4 linked regions of the Lonchura striata genome follow. The protein of the gene in region 1 purifies or fractionates together with the protein of each later gene. This does not show direct contact. Links are inferred from orthologs where the notes say so. Each region holds a gene or a part of one and is shown on either strand. Other genes may lie near its edges. The genes, in order: BTRC, TWIST1, PER2 and HIVEP1.

Evidence for each region.
Region 2: the proteins of BTRC (region 1) and TWIST1 purify together in Homo sapiens (affinity purification with western blotting; 4 studies listed by BioGRID). This does not show direct contact. The link is inferred for Lonchura striata from reciprocal best matches to the Homo sapiens genes BTRC and TWIST1.
Region 3: the proteins of BTRC (region 1) and PER2 purify together in Homo sapiens (affinity purification with western blotting; 4 studies listed by BioGRID and IntAct, with this or other methods). This does not show direct contact. The link is inferred for Lonchura striata from reciprocal best matches to the Homo sapiens genes BTRC and PER2.
Region 4: the proteins of BTRC (region 1) and HIVEP1 purify together in Homo sapiens (affinity purification with mass spectrometry; 5 studies listed by BioGRID and IntAct, counting the BioPlex papers as one, with this or other methods). This does not show direct contact. The link is inferred for Lonchura striata from reciprocal best matches to the Homo sapiens genes BTRC and HIVEP1.

Annotation. Positions count from the first base shown.
Region 1 is NC_134609.1:19,680,861-19,688,243, forward strand, and holds the start of BTRC (F-box/WD repeat-containing protein 1A), read right to left. Parts: upstream 3,008-7,383; 5' UTR 2,916-3,007; coding exon 2,868-2,915; intron 1-2,867. UniProt on the Homo sapiens protein: Substrate recognition component of a SCF (SKP1-CUL1-F-box protein) E3 ubiquitin-protein ligase complex which mediates the ubiquitination and subsequent proteasomal degradation of target proteins. Recognizes and binds to phosphorylated target proteins.
Region 2 is NC_134603.1:126,560,724-126,565,653, reverse strand, and holds TWIST1 (twist-related protein 1), read right to left. Parts: upstream 1,082-4,930; coding exon 512-1,081; downstream 1-511. UniProt on the Homo sapiens protein: Acts as a transcriptional regulator. Inhibits myogenesis by sequestrating E proteins, inhibiting trans-activation by MEF2, and inhibiting DNA-binding by MYOD1 through physical interaction. This interaction probably involves the basic domains of both proteins.
Region 3 is NC_134612.1:2,127,911-2,135,029, forward strand, and holds the start of PER2 (period circadian protein homolog 2), read left to right. Parts: upstream 1-4,103; 5' UTR 4,104-4,212; intron 4,213-4,424; exon of another isoform or gene 4,425-4,524; intron 4,525-7,119. UniProt on the Homo sapiens protein: Transcriptional repressor which forms a core component of the circadian clock.
Region 4 is NC_134603.1:91,367,820-91,374,831, forward strand, and holds the start of HIVEP1 (zinc finger protein 40), read right to left. Parts: upstream 3,013-7,012; 5' UTR 2,625-3,012; exon of another isoform or gene 2,484-2,624; intron 1,678-2,483; 5' UTR 1,604-1,677; intron 1-1,603.

The sequences.
Region 1 (7,383 bases):
AATTTAATATCAGAAATAAATTAGGTCTTATTAAGACATAGAGGTAAATTGAGTAAGCAAATGAAATTAAATAAATTACTTAAATCTTAAAGTATTAGATTATACATATTGTACCTGAGCACAGATAACCAGAAAATGTAGCAGGTATCAGTTAAATGCAATACTGCTTCATTGGCAAGTAATCCAGCCAACACCAGCTACTGAGAAGGCAGCTGCCTTCTACTGCCATCAAAAAGTTACACAGACATGAGCATAGAGAAGAACAACAGAGTACTGTTTGTCTTTCAAAGCATCAAATATGGATGCTTTAAAGCAGAATAATTTAATTAATAATATTAGCACTGGATGAAGCTTTCCCATTTTTCTGTTAGACTTGGACATTAAAATGAAAATCAAATCACTAAGTCCATCTTGCCTGGTACCTTGTGATTCAAAAGAGCTGCTCAAAGTCAATGTCAAAAATTAAGTTCTCACATTTTTAAGTGGAAAAAAAAGTATTATTTTCTAGAGAAGCATAAACAAACTACCACCTCGAGGGCTGCTTTTCAGTATGAAATGAAACCTACCCCAAACACATATCAAAACCAAAACCGTCTCTCCTGCCTTTGACAATAGGCCTCATACCTCCAAAATGTACTTGAATCTTTACCTACAATGCTCTTTGGGAAGCTCCCAGGAAAATCAATAATTATTAGCAAAGCCCATCACAAGCCAAACTGTGAGCCACCTAATAAGGAAGATGCAAATGAAGCGTATCACATACTCTGATGGACAGGGTAATCCACAGTGAATGATTCAGCATTAGCTGAGAGGATGCATGAGCTGATCTGCTACCTCTGTGTGGATAACTGTACCAGTGCCACTACTGCAGTGCCTGAGCACTGTCTGAGTGCTACATGGACCAGAAAAGACATTTTCAGGAAGGGCCAGGATGATACTTGCAACTGATTGCTCCTGTATGCTGATGTATCTATCTGTGTCACCCTTCCAGAACACCAGAAGACCCCACCAAGTCTGACAAACACTTCACTTCATCAGCAGAATTAAAGGAAGAGCCATGTTCTGGACTGATGCACACTAAAGCAAAAGCCTGGGATGTGCTTAACAAAAGCTTTGCTTACTCTATTCTCAACCTGTAAGCAAAAAAACCCTAAAAAGTTCAGAATGGACAGAGAGAAGTCATATCTTTCACTGTATGTTTTACAGGCATTTTGCAAACAAGAGGCACTTAAATAAAACATGAAAGAACGTGGGTTAGCTTTTAGCTCTCAGTGCAGCCTGGTCTTGATAATTCTTCCCTTTATCTGGTGCTCTTAACAGATGCATATCCCAGAAGAGCAGCTTCCTCTCACAGGCATGCCTCTCCCCAGTGTCAGGGAGCTCTATTGTTGGAGTCCATCAATATCTGTTGTTGTCCATCTATATCAGCTATTGTTGGAGTCCATCATCATCCTGCCAGCTGCAGGATGGACAGGGATTCCCTCAGCCTCCAGACCCAATCTTACAGACAATCTCAAACCACCCGGACTAAGCCCTTGAATGAAAATCATAGCACAGGGGGCCAAAAAGCAATGTATGAGAAGTCAGCATAGCATGCTCACAATGCTGTCTGGCAGCAGACAAGAATGTTTCAGCAGAAACTTTCTGGGATGTGAAACTCACTATCTAGAGGCAGGTTGTAATTACCAAGCTTGGCCAAACACAAGTGCAGCAGGATCTGGGACACTCCTTTGGCCAACCCCACACCAAAGATGGCCATTCATTACTTCTGATTGATATCTTGCTGATTTAGGTGTCCATAGCATTTTTCCACTTCACCTAGCTGAGACTCTATAAATCTGACAAACTTGGAGACTACTAGCAAATGGCTTAAAAAGTCTCAAGAGAGAAACAAGTTCTTCCAGATGAAAAGCCAAAAGTCAAACAAGTGTATTGAAGCTCAATTAGAAATTAAAATTTGCAGCTAGTGTTTCCTCAATTTCATTTTGGGCATATGTTCTGACAATTTAATAGCATTCCTTCTTCCTGATGAGCTCAAGTTTAATTCTGTGACACTAGAAGCACTAATCCAAAACAAACTTTTAGCAAGTGCTGCCAGTCATTTGAATTATATCCTTAGGGAAGAAGAGTTCAGGGCACCTGGAATTCACATTCAATTTAGTTGGCAACACTTTGTTTTCGTTTCTAAATTTTACATTTCTGGCCAAAATGCTCAGAAACATCAACAAATTAAGAAAGAAGAATGAAGCTACCGTTTAAGTACACAATGCCTCAAATCTATGGAAATTAGCTATATTAGAAGAGCATCTTGGATGCATGTACTGTTTTCCATACCAACTCAAAACCTAAACAATGTATATGCTCCCCACAGTTCTATCAGTGATGTGCTGCTGCAGCAGCAGGTGAAACACTTAACTGCCAGGATTTAGAGATCTGGCAGGAGAATGGGAGGAAAAATAAATTACAGAGAGATGGTGAGCAGTACAGCAGGATAGTCTAAGGTGCACAAATAAAGAAAAAAATCCAAGAGTTACATGCGCAAAGCCTGCCGGTGCCTGCGGGCCCCTCTGCCAGGTCCTGCCTCACTCCGGTTTAACTTCCCCCTCTCCCAGGTGGCACCTGCAGCCGCCTCCCCCTGCTCCCGAGGCTCCCGTTGCCGGGATCTGGGGACCCTGCTCGCTGCCCTCCCCGCGGCAGGACGCCCCTCCCCGGGCCCGCTCACCGCCTTCCCCGCCCGCCAGCCCCGAGGCCCGGCTCCCCTTCCCCGCTGCTCCCCGCTCCACCTCGCCCCGTTCCCCCGCAGCCCCTCCACAGGCAGAGCTGCCCACCCTCCCCCGCCGCCTTCGCCGACCCCCGCGGCCGCTCACCATGAACTTGAGCGCCTTTTCCTGCAGGACGGCCTCGGCCGGGTCCATGGCGCTGCGGGGCCGGGCCGGGGCCGCCCCCCCGCTCAGTGCAGGCCGCAGCCAGCGCAGACGGGAACCTGCGCTGCCCCGCGCCCCCCCACCGCGCCCCGCTGCCGCACCGCGCATGCGCCGCTCCGCAGGCCCACGGGAAATGGAGTCCCCGGTCACGTCCCTGGCAAAGGGCCGACCTGCCGGATAAAACTACAAATCCCGGCAGGTTCCGGGCCTGGGGGCACGCTGGGAGCCGGCTGGCGCATGCGTTGTGTGAGCGCAAGGGCCGACGGGGGTTGTAGTAACGTGGGCCTAAGGGTGCGAGGTGCGGGCCAGGGGAGGATAGACGCGGCCGCTCGGGGCGGGCGAGGGAGGGAGGCGAGGTCCTGCAGGTGCCGTGTGGGCAGTGTCCAGCTCCAGTCCTTCCCTGCGGCTGGAAGGTACGGCTGGCTCCCGAGTCACAGCCCCGCGCTCCCAAACGCGCCGCAGGAGGGCTCGGCTGCTCCCAGGCTTTGCTCCCGCTGCGCTCCGTGCTGGCTGCCCGAGCCCATTGCTGCTGGCAAACCTAAACTGAGCCCCTGCACTGCGTGCAGAAATGTCTGGGGAAAAGTTACCAGGTCCGCAGGGGATGTGAAACTGGAAAATTTGCATCACTGGCATGGATCAAGGAGGCTGACATCATTCTGGAGAGATGTTTGTTTGAAGCCATCCTGTACATAAAAAGCCTCCCGTGGTGCTTTGGTGCCCTTCTTCTAATAATGGTTTTAGATCAATTTTCCCTGAAAATTGGACCAAGTTTTCTTTGCTGTACTAAGCAGCAAAGAGAAAAAAAGAATTGATCAGCATTCCTTGACTAGCAACTGCATATAGACAGAAAATTTATCTTATCTCCTCTGTTTCTCTGTTGCACACTTACAACATCAGCTCACGTGGCAACCATTGTTTCTAATCCTCTTTATTAAATTTGTCTCATCTCTTTCCAGTTTTTCTACATTTTTCACGGTGCCCAAAAACTTAAGCTGACGTGTATGGAGCAGCAGAGAGGAATTGCTTCCTATGGTTTTAATACCAACTATAAAACCCTGATAAGTTTTTACTTCTCTATAGCAAACAAAACACTGATTTCTAGCCAGTTTGTCATCTAGTAAAACACTCTGGTTCTTTTCCTTGCTGCATTTATATATTTGGCTCTGCATTTTAAGTGAGATACTCTGAATTTCTTCCTATTTAAATGCAAAGAAGCCAGCCACAAACATCAGCACTTGTATGTCCACGTGCAGCTCAAACCCATTGTTTTCATTCCCTGTTTGACACAGCAACAAAAGTGAAGCTTCAGGCAGGTACAAAACCTGTATCTCCTGAGTCCCAGTGCCTTCCCTCATTTTCTCTAAACACTCCATCTCCTCCAGATTTTCAGGCAGAATGATTAGAGAGAAAACAGAGGATGCAGAGAATGTGCCCATTACTGGATTCCTCCCAGGGCATGTGACTAGGTAGTGCCTTGTGATCCAGTGCCAGGAGAGTCTGCTGCAGCCAGTGACCCAGCAGAGGTGACAGGGAATGTCAGCCTTTGCAGGGTGTGATGCTGGCATGATCCATGCTCTCAGAGCAGTGGTCTAAGAGAAGGAGGAAGAGATAACCTGATGTTCTCCCTCTACAATCCCAGGGCATTGAAATCTCCCAAATAAAGCTTCCATGTCACCAGGACAAGAGGCTGCCATTCATGACCCAGCCATGCTCTTGGCTGTCGTGCTTTAAGCCCAGACTCTTAGCAGTGAAATGCCTGAAATGCTTGGCTCTAGTGGGGCTGGGCACTTTCCAGACTGCTGACAGCACTGAGAACACTCACCACGATTATATAAATAACAGTAATTATAAGGAGGGAATCCTATAATTACAAAGGGAGGGCTCCTGTAACAGCACTGAAGGCAAGCAGGGGCTGCTGGTGCTCGAGGCAGGGCTCTCCCATGTCTCCTTCCTCCAGGCATCCTGCAGCTGGCTTGGGGTGTAAATGGATCCTCCTGGTAGCAGCGTGGCAGGCTCAGAGCTTTGATTGCACGGTTTATTTGTCAATAATATCTGATGCCGACCTAATTGTTGGAAAATTGGAAAGTGTAATGCTTCAGCATTAGACACCAGTGTCCCAAAGCCCTCCAGGCTGATTGATCTGTCTGGACTGTAACTTACAGGGGATTAATGTCCCTGAACTCTGTGGAGCCAGAACTAATGAGTGTTTAGGTGCTGGACTTAAACTTGGTGGTAGAAGGTCATGGCTTGGTTACTCTGCCACACTGCCATCAGAACCCCACAACACAGAACCACTGCAGAGGGACAGGGCAGGAGCCTCAGCTGCAGCACAGAGTGACTGAGGAAAGACTCCCAGAAACAGCACTTGGCCCAGCAGCGCTGAGCATGGAGTGACACCTTGTTGTGAGAACCTCACCTGGATCTCTACGTCTGTGGCCTGACCTTGTCGCCCCTTCCCACTGTGGGATGCTCCCTGCAGCTGAATGGCCAGCTCTGCACCCACCAGCTTGCTGAGTCCTCTGTGGCCAGAGGAGATGATGATCAGCACACCAAGCTGTGACACCATCAAGGTGTCACATCAGACAGCAGGCAGAGACCAATTGGAGAGGTGTGTGGTTCATAAGGCAGGGAGAAGGCACACTTCAATAGATTTACCACCAATTATTTGTTTGAGTTGCAGGAACTGGACATGTGTAGTCAGTGCTGTCTCTGCCACAGTAGAGCTGCCCTTTACTTTTCCTTGAAACAGCAATCATACCCCCCCACCCTGCCCTCCACCCCCTCGCTGCAGAGCACTGAAACGAGCCCATATAGTGCTCAGGGGCCTCACCATCCTTCCAGATGAAGGATGCTACCTAACAGTAAAGATATTACTGTGATTATTTTTACAATAGCATATTGCTCTGTGCATTCCAGACTCTGTGGACCACATCCACGCCTGGTGTAACGCCATGTTAATTTGCTGTGGCAGTCATTAATTGGGTAAGGAACAGCTGGTGCTTTGCTTCAAGTGAAGCTGATTGGGTCAGTAAGTAAGTGGTTAAGAGATCTACAGCAGGTATAGCCCTACCTTTCTCTGCACTCCAGAGGGGTTTCACTTCTTGTCCCAGTGACCCATGGTGGAAGCAGCAAGATTTGGCCATAAAACATTAGGGAACTTTAATCAGTGCGATTCCTTTGGGCATTATTGCCTGAATTTTTAAATTTTGAATAATAAAGGATGATTTTAAATTAAATTTGTGGAGTTGCCATCTGTGTGGGCTTGGCCTTGTTTTCCTCTACTTTGGCAGTGCCTTGGCTTCATTCTTTCCAAGTTGGAGCAAAGAGGAAGGGAAGTGAAAATAAGAGAGTTCACTGGTGGAAGAATCTTTTGTTGTTCCCTTTGTCCTGCAAGAACTTGGCAGCAGCAGTAGCAGCAGCTGCTACTGGGGCTGTGTTTCACAGGGCTGAACACAGAGGCAATCTCTGGTAGCACAAGAGCTTGTGAGAAGGTGACAGGGACCCCTGCAACCAGAAACATCCCAGTGGGTCAGCTCAGCCTCTCCAGCCTTGCTTTTCCTGACAGTGTCATGTCCCACACAGGGCTCTGGCATCTCAGCTAAAGGCACTTGGTGTGCAATGGCCTAGGGAAACTGAGGGCAGAATGCCTCCCTGTAGCCTGTGGACAAAGGGTCTCTTTTAGGACAAAGGGACACTCAGTCATGCAAGAGGGAAGGGAGGGAGTCCAGGACCACACAGTATGAATTATGTTCTCTGAGCAGGACAGTACTCATTACTTGGTATAAGTAGACATGCAAAGCTGCACGTATGGAGGGGATGACCAGAGAGAAAGGCTTGTCTGCAGAGAAACCACAGTAGTGTAGGCTATAGATTAACGTCTATGGGTTGAGCTGATTATATCTCTTATGCTGCTGCAAAGGGGAGATGCATCCTCTCTCCTGTGTCTGACAGCCACATGTTTCTTCTCACCTTCTGCTGGCTCCGAAACCTATTTGCTAGCACAGTAAGCTGGTTTAGTTGACTATATTGGCAGGAAAATTATACTCAGGAAATATTAACTAAACACTTTGCTCACAAGTCAAACTGGCTTTTTCTTACAACCACACAAATGGCAAAGTTGCTGTAAGGGCAAGTGGACCAGGGCAAAGAAAGATGAGATTGGTCCCTCTTAGTTACTGGGAGCTGCTAATTCAGCAAACAGAAGGTGGAAAACTTCTTGTCTTCCCACTTGTCAGGATCCCTGGACCCTCCTGAGGGTTGAGAGCCCTCTCTGCACTAATATCATCATCACTGGCTCTGGATGGCCAAGGCAGAGTGTCTTGGAGAGAACACATCCTGAAAGTTTGGAATACTTACAGGAATCCTGAGCAGATTAAACCTGAGTTCACTTCCCATCCTACCGTAGTGGCTGCATGGTGCTGCTCCCCCACCAGATTCACTGGGCCACTGGGAAGCTGAC
Region 2 (4,930 bases), on another chromosome or scaffold:
GGGGTGGTAGGAAACCCTCATCGGGCAGCACAACGGGAGGACATCACTTCAAAATACGAGCAGCACCAGCAGCACCAGCAGTGGCGGCAGCAGGAGCCGTCCCAGCAGCCCTGCCGGCTCCGCAGCGTTTGGTGAAGAAGAGACCTCAGGCCGGCCCCATCTGGCTGGGGCACACCCGCGCGGCCGCCGCGTCCCGCCCGCAGCCCACCCCGCCGGCAGCGCCCGGCCACGCGTGGGCCCCGCGGGGCTCGGGGCGCACCTCGGGCCGCGCAGGAGGAGGGACAGGCCGGAGTGGGAGAGGCACCTCCGGCCGCCCCGCTCTCCGGCTGCTCCGGGAAGCCAGGCCCCTCCGGGCGGGGTGCGGGCCCTCTCGCCCCACGGCCACGCGTGCTCAGCTCACGGCGCGGCCGGCGGCCTCTCGCCTCCCTCCCCCCTTTCTTCCCGCCGGTTTCGGGGTCCCTGTCTTACCTAGGGCTCCTGCCGGGGGGATGCGGGTGGGGGACGCCGCCTGCTAGTGCGATGCGGACATGGACCAGGCGCCCTCCATTCTCCACACCGAGAAGGCGTAGCTGAGCCGCTCGTGGGCCACATAGCTGCAGCTTGCCATCTTGGAGTCCAGCTCGTCGCTCTGTAAGACCTGGTAGAGGAAGTCGATGTACCTGGCCGCCAGCTTGAGGGTCTGGATCTTGCTCAGCTTGTCCGAAGGCAGCGTGGGGATGATCTTCCGCAGGGCGGCGAAGGCTTCGTTCAGCGACTGCGTGCGCTGCCGCTCCCGCACGTTGGCCATGACCCGCTGGGTCTGCAGCTCCTCGTAGGACTGGGGGCTGCCGCCGCCGCTGCTGCTTCCGCCGCCCCCGCCGCCCCCGCCCGCCCCGCACTTCTTGCCCCGCTTGCCTTGGGCCGGGCTGCAGGGCTCGTCCGCGGCCCCGACGGCGCCGCCGGCGCTGCGGCGGCTGGAGCGGCGCTTGCGCCCCCCTCTCTTGTTGTTGGGCAGCTGCTGCCGGTCCGGCTCCTCTTCGCTGTTGCTCAAGCTGTCGTCGGCGGGGGAGACTGGAGAGTTTGACTCGTCCTGCTGCATCATCTCTGGGGGGAGACGCGAGAAGCGGGCCGGGAGGGGGGGGAGGGCAGGGAGAAGAGGGGGGCACCTAACCCGCCAGCTCCCCCTTGATCGGCTGCTTCGCTGGCCTGCGAGAAGGAGGAGGGAAGGAAGGAGGGAGGACCTCACTTTGGGGGGAGGGGGGATGGCATCAGGATCCAAGAGGAAAAAAATAAAAAGGCCAACCAAAAAAAAAATATCCCTCCCGATCCCTCCTTGGAGCCCCTTCGAGGTGTCTGGGATTGGGAGAAAGTTGAAGACTTGGAGGTTCTTATAGCTCCTGCTGGCGGAAAGTTTGGGGGCAGCAGTGTCATTGGCCTGACGTGGAGAGGAGGGACTTTTGCTGAGTTTTATAGGAAAGTTTCCGCTTCCCCCCCTCCACGCCCTCCCCCAATTATTTTTTTTCAAGCCATTCACAAGTGATCTGGCTTCCCCACAGGCATTCACATACATCTCTACCCCAACCTCTTTCTCCGTTTCCCTCTCCGTGGTTTCTCTCTCAAACTCCTTCGGTTAGCGCTCGGCTTTGGGGTGGTGCTGAGGGCCGGGCCGGGAGGTTTTGGGGATGCCCAACACCCCGTGCGCTGCTGCGGGAGGGTCAGCGAGCCGCTCAGAGCCTGTGCTGGGGCAGCCGCCCCGAGCGGCCGGGGTAAGCCTGCACCTCTCGGGCTTTCTTCGCCGCAGCGGACACGGCTTGTAGCAAAAAGGAGGAAAAGGGAATTACCCGCGGCGCAGCATCAAGGCGCATCCTAATTTTGACCCGCTTTAGCACACGCCGCACTTCCCAATCACTGAGCGCCCTGGGATCTGACTAGCGGAGTGAGTCGCACATTTCTGGGCTTGGGGAGGGGTGATGGCATAGCCTCGTCCTGCCAAGCTGAAGGACTAAGCTCGGAGAAAGCCATCTTCAGAGGTGGAAGCAGCTGGGAAACCAAGTATTGGTTCGTATATGCATAAGCACCAGTCCCTGAGCTCGGCTTAAGAGCAACCGGGAGGATCCGCGTCACCAACCGGCACACCGGGAGACGGGAGGGTATACAGACCCTCTTTGCCCACACTCATTGTGTCCTGAGCACTCACTTCAGTCCGTCCTCCCACAAGGCACCCGAATCCGGCACTTCCTGGGAAAAGAGATTATTTATTTTAATTTCTCTTCTATGTCTGCAGCCAAAGCTGTTTCTTCCCATCCCCCGCCTTTGTGCCTCCTTCCCCGCTCTCTGGCAGCACAGAGCAGGTGGTGTGTCTTTTAAACAACAGCTCAGATTCAAACGGGGAGCGCCTGGGAGGGAAAGCTAGAAATTGCCATCCATCAGTAAACGGGGCGAAGTTCTCTCTGCTCCCTGCGTGGGGACCGCGCTCCTCTGCTGCCGGCCTGGCAGCCACCGCCCGGACGGGCACGGTGCGGAGCGGAGCTGGCAGCGCCGGCAGCGCAGAGCTCCCCGGCTTGTTTGAGGTGTGAGGGCGGACAGGGAAAACGGAATGGCAGAGGAGCGATAAATCCCAGGCATGAAATAAAACAAGGCTCGTGGAAGAGCGCTGACATCTTCTCCGGGGAACAGAGTCGTCTCTCTCCTCTACCTGAGGACTGACTCCCTTTCCTCCGAGCAGAGGCGTCTCATCCCGGGAGCTGGCAGGGGCCAGGACCCTGCTTGGCCGCCGCCGAGGGGCAGCTGCCCGCCCACGGCCCTGGCCCCGGCCCCGCCGCAGCGCCGTCCGGCACCCGCCGCCGCCGGAGCTGTCCCAGCGCTTCTCCGTTCGCTGCCCCTCTCGGCGAGGTCTCCTTCTTGGATTTCCATCCCGGGGTGCGAGCACATAGCAGTCTGCCCAAAACCTTCTCTTTTGGCAAACAGCTGGAAAAAGGACCGGGGAGAAAACAGGGACCGCCTTAGCCGGCAAGGGAAGGCACGCCGCACGCAGACCCACAGTGAGCCTGCACGGCTTTCTCGGCTTTCGGCTTGTCCCTGCTGTGTCAGGCCTCTTCATTCAGCTTAACACTAAGAGCTTCAGGGGTTCTCTTGTGTTGGCAGCAGCTGCTGATCCCAAGGTAAGAATAGCTGGCTCTCCTTTCACCTCCCTTTCACCAATAATTTTGTCTGTACCCAGAGCCTCACTGCTCCTCGGGAGTGTTGAGCAGTGTCATTACAGAATCAATGTTGGAAACAGTAGTGATGAGCATCTGTAGGTGGCTCTAGGGGCCTTCCTTCCTTCCTTCCTTCCTTCCTTCCTTCCTTCCTTCCTTCCTGCCTGCCTGCCTGCCTGCCTGCCTGCTTTCCTATCCACCTTCCTTCCCTCATTCTTCTTATAAGAAAAATAAAAATCACAGGGCAAAACCAAACCTGGATAGCTATTACCTTGCTGGGAACAGGATGCTGCCTGAAAGGAGGGAGGGGCAGCACATCCTGAGCTGATTTGGCAAGATGCACAACTTGTCTGGGTAACCTGAACTTCGAATGGGATGCAGGACATCACCTGCTTGTCATGGGGCGGGAGGAGGGTGTGTGGAGCAGGGTGTATGGAGAAGTCAAGGACAGATGGGGAAGTAGTGTTACATGGTTTATAACAATTGAAAACATGGAGAAATGTAGGAATGGAGTTGAAAGAGGAGTAGTTTACCATAGTAGATGGCTGGGCTTAGTGTTAGCTACTCTTTGTGTAAACTGCAGCAAAAGAAACCAGCAGTGTTTAGCAGGACTCATGTGGTTCTACCTGTGACCTGCACACTGCTGCATAAACCAGGACAACCCTCCCTGCCTCACCCCTTCCATCATCTTCATTTTGGGTTTTGGTTTAACTCTGACTCCCAAATTATGGGCTCAGGAGCAAAGGCATATATATAAGCCTATGATGTTACTGCTAAGATTCACACAGGAGTGCAGGGTCCAGAGAAGCTGTGGTGGCAATGATCTGTCCTGAGGGACTTGGGCTGGGCTGGGCTGGCTGTGGGAGTCTTCCTGGATCCCCCAGGCCTGCTGGCAGGCAGCAAACCTGCCTAGTGCTGGAGTGTGTGGAGCTGTGTTGGGAGGAGGGTGGATGTTTCAGAGAGCCATGTCTGGGGGTCTGTGTGAGAGAGAAAGGCATACTGGTGTGTTTATATGTGGGGATGTGTTTGTGTGTGCATGCATGTACTGTTGATCTTTTTCAGTGTGAGCACATGTCAGAAGGGAAGGGGAGTGAAGTCTGAGCAGAGATTAAAGAAAATAAATTAAATTCTGGTTTATTTTGAAATCTACAATTCTGATGAGGATTGAGGTGAAGCCCTTGCATTTCACACTAAAATAATAATTGTATTTTAGTTATGCAGTGTTAAACCATCTGTTTTGAACCTCAGCTAAGGTAGTTCTTCAGACCACTTTAGAGCATGGGATAAAGGACATCATGTCCTGTTTTTCTCTATGCATAGGCTTGGCTTAGGTAAGAACTCTCCTGACGCCACGGGCAGAATTTCAACCCTGTTTCATTCTTTGGCAGTAGCAAGGAAAACTGCAAACAGGTCCAGGACCTTTCTAGAGATACTTCCAGGTCCATTCTTGCAAGCTTCCCTGGGCCTCAGCTCAGGAAAATATATGTCATGGAACACTCTTGCATGGAACACTGGCAGGACCCAGAACATTCCAGCATTTTGTCACCTCTGCAGAAAGGTACAACCCTGGTAAAGCAGCCATCTAGATTGCAGGTATGGCTGTGAACACAGAGCTAAATAAATTACAAACTCCTGGTAGGAAGAAATGAAGAGTAAGTTGGTCTATGATGATCACTGTAGTCATGGTGGATCACAGAGAATTAGCTGTAAAGGGATGGCCCAACCTTGATGCCAACCCTTCTGTAGGCACCATT
Region 3 (7,119 bases), on another chromosome or scaffold:
CTGGATGCTTTTGAATGGTGAAGCCCAACCTGACGTAATCACTTTCTTTCAGGGCAGAAGAGGATGTCTAAATCCAACACAGTAGGCAGGATTGAGGATGCACTTTCCTGCCTGGCATCTCTTATTAACTCTCTTATGCTAATCTAATGACATGCAAATTTCATTTTAAGTGCCTAACTCTATAATTTGGTGTTCTTCTTGGTCTTGGATCCTCACTCCAGCTCAAAATATGTTCTTTGATCCCGTTTTGGTTTGGCTTTTGTGCTCTCACAGCTGTGATGTAATCAAACCAAAAACTTCTTTCATGGGATATTTTCAGTCAAGTCGGTTTCCTAATCTAAGTACCAGTACAATTGCATAATCACTGATTTTTAACTCAGTGGAGGTGGTAGGACTGTTCCTCTTGGTGGATGTTTAAGGACTTTGATCACCTTAGGCAGATCATGAAATCACAAACTATCACTCTCTGAGTTATGCAGGAAGCTTTAAACCCCTATTCAGCACAGTGAATTCAATGTCAAGTTCTCTTCATTCAGCTTTCTGAGTGGCTGACTGCAGAAAATGAGTTGCTAATACACACTAAACAGCAGGATCTCAGACCTGGACTAAAATCATGCTCATGGGCTTGTGGATAAGCACATAGAGGTATAGTGGGGGGAGATACACCCCTTCCATTTGTATCCTTCTAAAAGAAGAATTCAGGGCTCCTTCATGTGTCATTTTTCAAGATATTTGGAACATAAAATTACACTGCATTTGCCAAGAGAAACTGAATTTAATAAGAATAGCAAGAAAACAGTAAAAATAGGGACAGAATGAAAACCTGCTCTCCCCAGAAGTTGTTAGCAAAGGTTTTCTGTCTGGTGACAAGCAGACACTTGTGCAAAGGAATTCTGAACTGCAGCATATTTCAGGAACTTGCTGCTTGAGTTGAAGTTCTTTATAATGTTTTTTACATTCCTTTACATTTAATGAAAGCATTTTCAAAACTGTATGATATTTCTGTCTATTTGTTGCAGTTGATTCCTACACCTGCAATGCTTTTAGAAAAACCTGTCCATATATTTACTGGTAATGAATAAAATGGGTTTTTTCCTTTCCTCCTCCTTTGTCTGCACAGAGAGTAAGAGTGACGACTTTTGCTCATTAGCAAAAAAAGCCTTTCCGGATCTTTGCAAGAATCAATGACTGTCAGCGTCAGTGTAAATGGTGAGTAATTAAGACTAGGAAATGAAGAATTAGACGTGGGTTCCAGCTGTAAAGTATTGATTGTTTTTTTTTTTTTAATAATACACAGTTCCGTCAGTGCTGTGGAGTATCTTTGAACAGGCGACTTCTACAAGTGGATAGGGAAGCACAGTTTTTCAAAAAGGAGTCTTATTTCCTTAGCAAATCCAAGCAAGCAGTCCTCAGGTAGTTTTTCAGGTGGTCTCAAACTATTATTTTTCGATATTGAAAGACTTGGATTTTTTCCCCCTTTAAAAATGTAGATACTGTCAATAAGTTGCTGCTTATCAGACTGAATTGCTTCAGTTAAGCAAAAATTCTACTTTTTATATATGCTGGGAAAAGGTTCGGCATTTGCGTGTGTGCCTAAAAAACTACTGATGTAAGTGCGGGAAGCAGCGGGATTGCACAGAAAACCCCCAAGGAGCGGCATTTTCCCGCGGGGCCGCAGGAGGGAGCCGGGCAGCGCTGGAAGCTGCGCCCCAGCGCGCCGGGCAGAGCCAGCTGGGGCAGTGCCAGCGGGGACCTGGTGCACACACACACACATTTGTACTGCCATGCTCCAGGAGTTACAGCTGAACACACACGCACACAAAATAAACAAAGCTGGGGAAAAAAAACACCAGCATTTTAATGCTTTTCTTACAAGCTTTGTGTTCTTTAGAACCATTTGTGTGTGCATATATGTATTTTACTCCTGCCTACCAGACAAAGTGACCTTAAAAACAAACGTGTAGAACCCATAAAATTTTGCAATAACTTTATTTTGCTCTGTTCCATAGTAGATGAGTCAATAGCAATATTCACTCCTTCAGAAGCCATGTGCACGCACTCATTTCAAATTGGAGATGCCTGGAATAATTTGTATCTGCACACATGATTTATCTTGTGCCAATTTTCTGGAAGTTGCAGAATTTGGACTGAACTCAAATTCACATTTTGAGTAACACAGCTTACCATGTTTTTTGCTACATTAAATATAAAGCTGTAACTACTAAAAGGTGGTATGAACAGAACTTAAAAATCATTCCCATAAGTGTGACTGAAACAGCTGATTAGTATCCCTTTAAAATAAGCAGAACTCAAGTAATGCCTCTGGTAGTTACCGGGGTGGGAAAGGTACTGGCTATTTGTGGTGGTGGGGGTTACTCTTCTGCCAGGACTGGCATGTCCTGCTGCAATGGGGAATGTGTGTCCTGGGAACTCATTTAGCTCTAACACAGTGCCATGGTTTGCCATCCTTCTCGTATTTGTGATCTGATGGGGTGTGGGACAGTGTGGATCTCAAGGTTTCGCTTTGGTTGAAGTGCCTTAGTTGGAGTCTGTGCTAAAAGACTAAAGCCCTCAGCACACAGAGAGGGATGGGTATTTTTGGCATGTAACACGAAAAACAACATCCCATGGAAACCAAGAATATTATTCTACATCCCTTTAATCCTAAAGCAGAGAACTGACAAAAAGACAATGAAATTCTGGATGTGAAGACCTACCAACAACAAGTTGACCAAACTACATAAAGACTGCCTAATTAGGATTAATCTTAAAATTAGACTCCTCAGAGGAGCGCAAACTAAGAATGGTATCCTGGTAAGCTGACTTGTGCGTTGCAACAAATCCAGTTGCAGAATCTGGTTCTAATGCTTCCGCTGCCCACCCCCTCTCCTCTCCAGCAGTTAAATACTGCACAGTCCTTTACTCACAGGCTGTTTCTGTAACAGTCAGAGCATAAATACCTGTGTATCTAATGGACTTATCCTTAACACTGCAGTGAGGAAGGGAAGTGGCATTAACCTCATTTTGCAGATAAACAGTAGAAGCCCTGATGGTTGTCCGGTGTTTCATCCTATGGAGCAACTGCATACATGCAGTGAGTGTAAAACGCTGTCAGCCCGAATGTGGCTTTGGCACATTCTCTGCTCCTTCTTTGCAAAGTCATCTACTACAGCGGAGACAGAGGAAACTCAGAATACACATAAAGTAACATGAATTTCTCACTTACCGATTGCTCTGCTTAGCCTTGGGAGATGTGGAGACTGGAGCAGGGCCGAGGTGTTCAGCAGAGGATTATTGGGTTATCTCACTGAACTACTCAGGTTCTCGCACCAGTGTTGGATGGATGGTGCAGGGGCCTGAGCGCAAACCTGTGTGACTGATGTATAAGAATTCATTAAATTCTTTATTACTGTAAAATGGGAAGTGTCAATGGTCTCTGAAAGTTTTGATTCAACAAAAGCTGAAAAACTTCTTTAAACAGAGAAGTTTTTAAACACAATTCTTTAAACAGTTGGAATGGAAAGCCATTGTATGGTAACGTGTCACCATGCAGAAATACTGTTGCCGAGAACAGTACATACATTTAAGAGCTCGGAAATTCTTAGATCAATCATGGTTGTAGCTGTTCAGACTGATGCTGCCGGCCGGTCCGGGAGAAAGCTGCAGCCCTACGCTCTGCTGCGCTGCCCTTTGCTTTGTGACCCGGCGCAGCCTGAACAATACGCGGGGGCACTTTGGAAACCTCAGGGCGTGCACCCAGCGCGGGCGGCAGCACCGGGAAACGGGATACGGGCGCTGCTGCCTTATGTAAGCGAAGCAAGCGCCGGCAGGGTGAGCCCCGCGGGCTGAGCCCGGCAGGGTGAGCCCTCAGGGTGAGCCCTCAGGGTGACCCCCTCGGAGTGACCCCTCAGGGTGACCCCGGCAGGGTGACCCCGGCAGGGTGACCCCTCAGGGTGACCCCCCAGGCCGCCCCGCCGCCCTCAGGGCGGGCCCGCTCCGGGCTCGGCCGCCAACGGTCTCCGCCCGCGCGCGCGCGCGACACGTCACGCGCGGCTCCGAGCGGGCGGGGGCGGAGCCGCGCTCCCCGGGGGCGTCACGTGACCACCGGCCCCCAATCCATCCTCCCCGGCCCGGCGGTCCCGTAGCGGCGGGCGCGGGCGGAGGCGAACGGAGCTACCGCGGCTTCGGCGGGAGGCGGCGAAGGGGCCGGCGGTGAGTGCGCCCCGGTGGTGGCGGCGGCGCGGGGGAGGGGAGGGGCGGGCCGGCGGCGGGGAAGGCTCGGGAGGCGGCCGCGGCTGTCGGTGGAAACATGGTGCCACACGTGAGGCTTATGTAAAGTGAGCGGCGGCCCGCGCGGCCAATGGCAGCGGCGCGCGCCCCGCCCCCGCCCGCGCGTCCCGCTGGCGTCAGGCGGCCGCGGCCAATGGGCGCGCGGGCGGGGCGGGCGCGCGGCGGCCGGTCACGTTTCTGCCCGTATGAAGCCCGAGCCGGGACGCGCCGGGCCGGCGGGACGCGCCGCGCGCGGTGAGTGGGGGCCCGCCGGGCGCGCTCCGCGCCGCCCGAAGGGGCCGGGGAACCCGCGGGGAGCGGCGGGAGGGGGCGGCGAGCGGCGGTCGCGGGGGGCACGGGGGTTCCCCCGCCTCCTCCGCCCGCCGGGCCGAGGTTACGTAACCCGCGCGCCGGGGCTCTCCCGTTGCTGGGACGCTGCGCGCGCGGGGCGCTCCCGTTCCCCGGGGTCCGTCCCGCTGCCGGCCCCGGCCCGCCGGGGAGGGGGCACTCGGGGCTCCCTCAGAACGGCGGCTGTGACACGCCCCCCCCGCTCCCCGTGAAACCGCAGCGAGGGAAGCGGCGGCCGGCCGTGAGTCGCTTCCCGGGGCGGGGTGCGGGGCAGAGTGCGGCACGGCCCCCGCCCGTCCGGGAGCGGGGGCACCGCGGGGCCGGGGCGGCACCGGGCTCTCCGGGGGGCGGCGCTGGCCCCGGCCCGGAGCGGGGGAGGAGGCGGCGGGGCCGGACCCGGTCCCCGGCGGGCTCCGCTCCGCCGTCCCTGCCGGCCGCGGGCTGCGGCCACGTCCGTGCGAGGGGCGCGGAGCGGGGGAACCGGCGGGGAGCGCGCGGACCCCGGGGCGGCAGTGCGGGGGGACCGAGCCGGCTCCCGCCGGCCGGGCGGGCTGCTCCGCGGGAGGAGCTGTCAGGCAGCGAGGAACCGATCTCAGCGCTGCCGAGATGTGTGAGCTACAGGTAGAGCAGGCAACAGGTGCTGTCCATTTGTTTCTTGTGTTGCATGTACCTGTAAGACACTCTGTTCCTTGAGACGTGTGGTTGTGCTGCTGTTCACATTAGTGCATAGTATTACATGCATGATTACAAAACCCTTTATGTAAGTACAGTTTCATGCAAATTGGTGAGCAGCGTGGCAGCAGTCAAGCTGACGCTTTACATTTGACTTTTCGTAATAGGGTAAGTATTTAATAAAGGGACAGCATTTCTCTGTGTACCATAGGAGCTTAAAAAGGCCTCACAGGAGGTTGGTATGAGGTCCCAGGTACTTGGGAAACTACCGTGCCTCACAAGTGTATTCCAGTGAAAAAGTAACTTGGCTGAGACTGTGCACTGATTCAGATCAAAGAAACAGAATCATTAAGAATTGTAAAGACCTCTGAGATCCTTAAGTCCAACTGTTTTGTCCATATGTCCAATCTAAATCTACCCTCTTGCAGTTTCAAACCACTGTCTTTCATCCTGTCACCACATGCCCTGATAAGAAGTCTTTCTCCATCTTCCTTATAAGCTCATGTCTTTCTTTTCCAAATGCAAGACTTTGAGATTTATTGTCTTGGATATCTGAGATTGAATAGTTATCACAAGTAAAGGGAAAGAAGTGGAAATTATCTAGTGATTCTAGTGGTAAGAGTATATATCAAGTCAGAAGTAGAGTAAAAACCTGATTAGTATGGTGAGAAAACATTCCAAGTTGCCAGTATTGTTTCAGCCACAGTTTGATTTGTGTTAGGGAGAGTGCCCACATTGTTGCACTGTAACATCAAGTTCCTTCTTGCTTATGCTTGTACAGGTTTGAGTGCTTTTATGTTCTTTCTGTTTTACCTTTGTCTTTGAAACTTGCATGATTTCTGCAAAGTGGGGAAGTTTCACTGAAGGACTGGACTGTGTCCTTGCTCCATGTAAAGCTAGATGTTAGTCTTGAGAAGATGACAACACTGTCCTGAGGTGTGGAGTCCTGATTCTGAACTGTGGAGGTTGCTCACCTCACTAGTAACACACAGAGGAAAAGAGATGGCCTTTGGCCTGGAGTAGAAGAAGAAAAGTAAACCAAAACCTTCAGGTTTTGGCCATTTCAAGTGTGTATTTCAAGGCAGAAAGAAGATACTTTAGTTGGGTGTCATAAATGTGTGTCTTTCACTACAGTGAAAGAGGATAGTCTATCCTTTGTTGGTTTGGCTTGATGTAGTTCAGAAGGAAAAGACATAGAAATAGTTTTTTTTCTTTTATGCACTTCTTCATATTTGGCAAGTTTTTTTTATTTTGTTTATAATTCAAAGACTGCATGGTTTTGCTGGAATTTTTTTTTATTTGTCCGTTGGTGGGACTTGTTATAGACTTTCTATATTCATTTTAGCAAACAAATTCTGTCGGTGAAAATCTAAGTAATCCTCATTTTTACAATTTTCTGTTATTCATTTTAGATTTCCACATAGAGGCATTGAAGAGCCAGCATATTCTTGTCATAATACCTTCTCTGCTTTCTCTTCCTCCAGTCATTTGACTGTAAAGTGTCTAACAACACAGCTTACTTGATAAACTTCCTCGAACCTCTCCTTGAACAATATGCTCTTACAGTAATAAACTTTTTTAGTAAATGGAGATATTGATGGAGTTTAGTCTCAAAGTATGAGAATAGAGTGAAGTGGGGAAAGTGATTGGCAGTAGAGTTCTGGATGTTTCTTCTACTTCAGACATTTATTATGACCAGGAAGTGTTTGGCTTAGATACAGACTGATAAACAGTTTTCTTTTTCCTGGGTTCTTGCCTCACCCTTATTTCTCTAACATCTTTACAGTATTAGAATATGCTTTACTGCATTAAAAAAAAAAAACTTTTATT
Region 4 (7,012 bases), on another chromosome or scaffold:
AAACAGGACCACCATTCCCACAGTTTTCAAGGTTTTTACAGGGAGTTCTTTCAACCTACATATAATCATGTTTGTAAGACAGATGGGTATTTTAATCCCCATTTCACAGGGGAGAAACCAAGACAGGAAGATGCAGAGTAGCTCGCTGCATAGCTGTGGACTGACATGACACCACTTCTGCCTGAGCTTTTGGCCACAGGCGCTGTCTCTGGGCTATTTTTCCTCTTGAGTTCACTTAAATTATACCTTGAGAACACTTCCAGCTTACAGTGGTGGCAGTTTCTCTGCTGTGGGTAACCTGTCCTATGTCCTGCCCAGAGGCAACACGAGAAGCAAATGTAAGTGAAATCCCTGGCTAGTTTGCAACTGGTGGTTAGGGTAAGATAAAGTATTCTTTGCTGAACTGGAGATTCATGGAAAAATCAGACCCGCAAAGAGTATCTTCAGGAGAAATGTGTTCTGCTGCTCCTATTGGACAAGCAAATGACGATTCTTTATTATTAGAGACAGTGCTTGTCTTCTCCCTTGTCTGTCCCGCCCTCCACCCCCTCCCTTGTTCTTCCTTTGTCTGGCTTTTAGACTTGGGACTCTGACTTGCTAAAGAACAGAGTTGCTGTTACTCTAAGCGCAGCAGCGTGAATATGATCCTACAAGTGCCACAAACATAAATTCGTGTACCAAGTCTGACCAGTCACAAACCCAGGACCCTGCGACCTCTGAAGCTGGGTCTGAACCTCTACTTGTTCTGCTCAGCTCTCCCTTACAGTCTGTCCTGCAGGCTCTGGGGCACTTAGCATCTAGATCCTTCTTTGCCACTCATTGTCTGAAAGCCTCAGATTGTGATCACCAGAGTCATCAGGGAGAAAGTGTCAGATAGTGGCCCTTTCTCACAAGAAGCCTCCAGAAAAAAGAGCCATCACAACTGCTGCTGGTGCCAAAGGAGTTCTAGGCTACTCATCTTTTCACAAGGACCTGAGTAAGTTCAAAAGAGATGCTCCAGCCTGCAAGTTGAAATGAGACCATATTAAACCCCCTGCAGCCAGCAGGAAAAGTTTCTTCTGATAGAAGTAGTCAAACCACCTCCCACCTATCAGTGAAAATCAGCCCTCTCATCACACCTATGTGCACAGGAATGTAATAAGTGCCCTTATTATATTCCTGCAGACAAGCACAACTGTCTTAACAAGAAAGACTCAATGAGGTGTCAAAGAGGAGACAGGTCCTCAGGGATGTGTATCATGTGGTGGCAGCTTATCCTCCCTTGAACATAAAATCAGTCATTGCAAAGTCAGTTTGGGTCAGAGGACAAAACGAAGAACTGAAAGTCTGGCCCCTTGGAGCTATTTCCATGGTCTTCTGAAAAAGCAGCCAAAAAAGCAGCTGTGAGCTGGGGCCTCTCCTCAGCTGGTTCCCCTCCAGTGGGCAGAACTAAGGGCCAAAGGGCTGCCTTGAGCCCAGTTCAATGTCGTTCCAGCACGCTGCCCCCCGGTCAGGTAAAAAATGCAATCCTAAGGGCTTTGAAAAGGCAGCATACCAGCTGTTTATCCCGGGCAGACCACTTCATCTTTTTCTGTTTTTCCATCAGTAAAAAGGAAGTGCTTACCCACTCAGTAAAGTACTTTTGGAAAAGTACTGTGGATGATTGCTAGTAGGAGGCACAGAGTAATCTTCTCAAACCTGCAAATGAGGGAAATTCTTTAAAACTTTTCAGTGAGATTTAAAATGCCACATCAATATGCACAGAGGAAAAAAAAAAAAAAAAAACACAACACCACCTTCACTGCAGAATTTAGATACTTTTAAAATTTCACCTAAAAGGAGTCCTGAAGGATATAGATCCTCTTTAATTGACTATGTGTATACCTGAACAGGGAAGATTATTGAGGTTTTCTTCTCTCTAAAACTCTGCTGTATTTTCAGGACGACACCTATTTTTAAACATCCTCTCATTTTACTCTTGAAACCTTGTTCAGAAACTGTTTTTCTGTAATGGCTCACAGGTATTTTATATATAAATATATACACATACACACATTAGGCTCTCAAGAAACCACGATACATTAGGTAGTCTTGAATAATTCATTGTTAAGCACCCCATGATAAATCTCTAGTTGAACAGTATGTGATTTTGCTTGAATTCTTGGGATAAATTGAATGTGAAGCACTGTGGTAAATTTAACTACGCAGAGCATCAAATGTGAAAACTTTACATTGTACATTACATTCTGACATGCAACTGAGAATCATTATTATTAAGGCTTCGGGGAATTTTCAAGGGAACTTCTGAAATTCTGAAAAGAAAAAGAACAAGACTGAGTGCTGTTCTCTATAGAAGTTGAGATTTTCTCAGAGAAGGGAAATTCCATAAGTAGTCTGTATTGAATTAACATAAAGGTTTCACTAAAAGAACTGTTGTCTATTAGCTTATGCTCTGAGGCTTCTCATTGAGTACTACATATGAAAGTCAGAGGATCTTGGCTTACCTGGTACCAGAGGGTGCTTAGAGCTTTTCTAGGGCTTGCCACTCCTGCAGCGGGGCTGGAGAGATAGGGCAGCAACCGCTGATGTGAGGGGAGGTAATTTCCCCCTTTTCTGTAGCAGTAGCTGTCACCCCAGATACTCACAGCTCTCCCTTGTCAGCAACAGCCAGACGCTTTCCTGGAGGTAGGCAAAGGCAACAGCACAGGGACCTGGTCATGCACCACTCCTCACAGCCTGCAGCTCCAAACAAGAAGATGATCTCCACTGGGACATTTTGCATGGCAATATCCTTCATCTCCACCTTTCTCAAGATGTCCTGAAGATGAGTTGCTTTTCATTGTCCCATAAGTTGGTTCAGTTCTTTCTGATTTGGCATTAAATAATGCAAACTGTTCCATCAAAGAATTTTGGCACAACCTTTCTTTTTATTTATGTGTATACACTGCAGCTCTGTGTGGTGGTACCTGGTACCTGGTAGTCCTGTGGCCAGGAAAATGTACAAATCTGTCCAGCTTCAGGTTAATCACATGATATAGGGCACAGTTCACTGACAGAGCTTCACCTTTTTCCAGGTATTATTAACCAAACATTTCAATGAACTTCAACATCACTGATACCATATCTACTTATTTATATCATATTCATCTTAATGATATCAGAGCATCTCAGACAAGAATACTTGTGTTTAAGAGGCTACGCTAAATTCTCTTTTGGTGATTTTTTGTCCTTCTCCCTCTTTGGAAGAGTCCCAACTGCTGGGGAAGCTGGGGTGCTCCCCCAAGAGTAATCACAGGACAGCTCATGGAGGCAGGGGAAGAAAACCTACTTTAACCCTAATTTTACCACCACCACCACAGCCTAACATCAGCCTTCTTTCCTCCCAGCACATGAGGCCTCATGTGGCTGGTCACAGGACAGAGGTCAGACAAGAGACCAGGCGCAGAGCAAAGCAGCCAATGAGAAGGATATCTTCTAACCAAATCCCTGTGAGGTGTCCTTTGGTCCTGCAAGCCCTGGTGAGACCAGTGCTGAGCCCACACCTCATGCAGCATCCTCCCTGCTGGAGCATGAGACACCTGGTGAGGCCAAGAGACAGGGAGTCACCCTCAGCATTTTCCAGGCTGGCCCCACTCCTTGTCTGGCCAAACCATTTATGACGGCATGCCAAAGTCTAAGGAGAAAAACAAAAAATAATTAAAATTGTACTGGTTGAACCACTGTTGCCTTTTTGTCCAAGAGGAAGCCCCAGTGGCAGGCAGATAGTGTGACCCTGCTGCTGACTTGCCCTTAGCCAGATAAGGAGCAGGCTGGACCACTGGCAATGCTGTGAATGCCTCGTACTCAGCACACCACACATCCAGCAGGGTTTTGTGGAATGTGACATTAAGCACTTCTAGGAGGGAGATAGTTGCCACACAGAATTATGAGATCTGGAATGGAGAATTCGGGAGAAGGCAAAGGCTCATCTGAAGCGCATGGTATGATACCATTTGGGTTATAATAAAGGACTGAGCCAGTACAAACCCCCACCTCCTCCCAGAGATGGAGCTCACCCAGGGCCCTGAGCAGAGTCTTGTGTCCAAACATGAGACAAGTTTGAGCTTGGGCTGGTGCTCTGAAGTTAGAGTAGATGTACCCATGAAAAGCAAGTCCCAGAGCTTTTGGCTTTCCACTGAAAATTTCTTCTGTCTTTTCACAAAGAGATGCTTCTCTATAGGTCAGCAGGCTCTGCACTTTCACAGCCCTTTTACTCCCTTCCACCCTGGTATTTTTACTTCTGAGTAAGACAGGTTTCTGACCTTTTTTCATGAAGTTGCTCATATTTTCCACTGCATCTCCTTTTTTACCTCACCCCACCAGTTCACTCTGATCTTTCTTTCTCAGTAGCTCTAGGTTCTGAACTGCTCATTTAAATATGGTGTGGCTTGCCAGCATTTTTTCCTAAGCCTTTTATTTTATCAGTTAAAGAAACAGGAGACACACAAGGCACTTAACACAAGTGCACCTTGCCAAGATGCCTTCAGTGGTATGGTTTTTCTTTAGGTTTGACCACAAACATTTTAACATATCTGAGTGATTAAAAAGCATTCCAACCCATGCTTTCTTCCCCAAGTATTTCTGCCATTCAGTGGCCCTCTAGTATTGTTTGCCACAGACATGTCTGGGAGAGGTCTTTTAAATATCACTTTTTGAGCACGTTAAGTTAGCTTAGCAGCTCAAAAGTTGCAGGGTTAAAAAGAAATAAGCAAAACAGGCTTATTTTCTGTGGAAATGTTTTCCCTTGCCTCCTTCCCAGTACAGATATGAATAGAAGAAATCCACAAAGGAGAAAATAATCCCCGTTCTATTGAAGATTCTCAAGTATGTTAAAATTTACTTGCTTACTGGAATGTTTACTTTGTAGTCATATTGCAGATCACTAGGTACAGATCAACAACAAAGTTTCTAGTTCCTTTAGCCTTTATTCTTCAGAACTGTGAAGTGGCATTCAAATAGTACACAGAATATTTGCAGTGGTTCATCACAAACTACACAGTTCACCTTTTGTAAAAAATGCTCTATAATTTAAAGATGTTCAGTCATCCTTAAATCCAAATGGCTACAACAATAATTAAACATATGGCTTTGCTGTGAATTATCGTGGTTTTATGTCATTTCCCTGTTTATGAGGTCTCCTGAAAAATCATTTTCTCAAGTTGTGGCCAGTGATTTTATAAATCTTTTTAGTCTAAGGCTAAGAAAGTTAAGCTCCAATGCCTGAGGAGTGTAGAAAATTTTAAAAACACACTGTAGGGAACAAATACAAGTTGAAAACACAGCACTTGCACTCTTACAGCTGTCCCAAAATTTCACAAGGCCAACAGTGTAAAAGCCATGGATCTCATTTTCCAAAATTCTTATCACAGCAGTATGACTGCATCCTTTATCCATTTTCACACATTGATAAACAATTACCCATGTAACGTACAAGATAGAGGAAAGACAGACGAAGGAGAGGGAGAACTACAGTGAAAGAAACATGGGACAAGGCTGGCTTCTCACTGCAGTAAGGAGAGAAATGACTGGTGTTTGGTTTTTCATGGATTAGCTGCTGGCAGCTGCAGCATCCAGCCCTGTTTGCCCCTGACCCAAACTGCTGCTCCAGTCTGGCTTGGCAGCCTCTACACCGACTTCTTCACCTCCAGCTGCACATTCAGCCCTTCCAGAAAGTTGTGCCGTGGCTTCATCACATTCCAGTTGAAGCTCTTTTTCATCAAAAAGAAGTAAGACATTTTACAACTGGCTCTATCTTCTGTTTAAACGCTTGAAAGGCAACATCAAAACATGTTCTAGGGTGCAGCAGCAGGTCTCAAAGCTGTTTGTCAGGTGGCTTAAGAAGTGGTACAACAGAAAGAGCACACTATTTCCTTCAGAGGTGAATCATTCCCCAGCCCTGTCTTTAACGCAAGTGTCAAAGCCTTTTTTTAAGTCACAAAAATGCGATTTATATATTATTTTGACCAAACTATGGAACAGCCATTCTGATTAATTAAATGTGTGTACATCTGTGAAAAGTAGAATCTGACACTGATGCACTGTTAAATTTGCAGATAAGCTCATGGAAACACAAGAAGAAGCAGAAGTTAAGACATCGAATCCTCCACTGGCTTAGATTGTCTAAGTTCCTTCAAGATACTTAGATTATATTATTGCCATAGAAGTGCTACAGGAGAAGCAGCCAGTCAACCCATAAAACCCAGAAATGGTGTGTACTCACTTCTTTAAAATACTGGGTTTGTCTGCTTGTCCAGAAGAAATCCAGCATGGAGGCAGGCCAGCTGAGATAAAGAAAACCAAGACACATGAGGCAGATGCTGGACACAGATAGGAGACTAGCCTGTGAAGAACAGCTCAGCTCCCCAAAGGCTTCAGGCACCAGAGTGCAGTGAGGGGGAAGAGTACATAGCACAGCTGTGAGTCCCTCTATGGAGAGGCATTTCCTTTGTGGAGTAATTTTTCCTGTGCCTATCTTCAGGAAAGAATTTGTGTGTCTGTTAAGTCCCACTAATGCACTCTCAGAAAACCAGAGCATGTGCTTAAGGAGTTCTTGTATCAAGTTTTACAGGCATCATCTGAGCATGTGAGTTATCCCCTTGGCTTACTGGGACCATGCATTCCTGGAGTCCCTGATGATCTTACAATAGCCTCCACAGTGAACTCAAATGAAAAAACAAAGTGAATTATTATTATTAAATCAAGAAAGTTCATAATTGAAACATTACTGAACACCTCCCCCATCTAAGGCTCCATTTTGGGGTATCTGATCCTGTGAACAGCTTGCACAATGAGGCACCAAGGTCACCGGGGCTAACAAACCACAGGTTGTGCTTTCTGTTGAGTCAGAGGTTTTGCTGACAAACATTCAGAGCCAATTCTGCAATGATCCACCATGCATGTTCTTCCTGTTAAGACAGTAGTGCCATTCTAGTAATGTTTTAGAGATCTTTCTCTGGTAAAAAAACATATCTGTGCATTACTTTTTGTTGTCTCT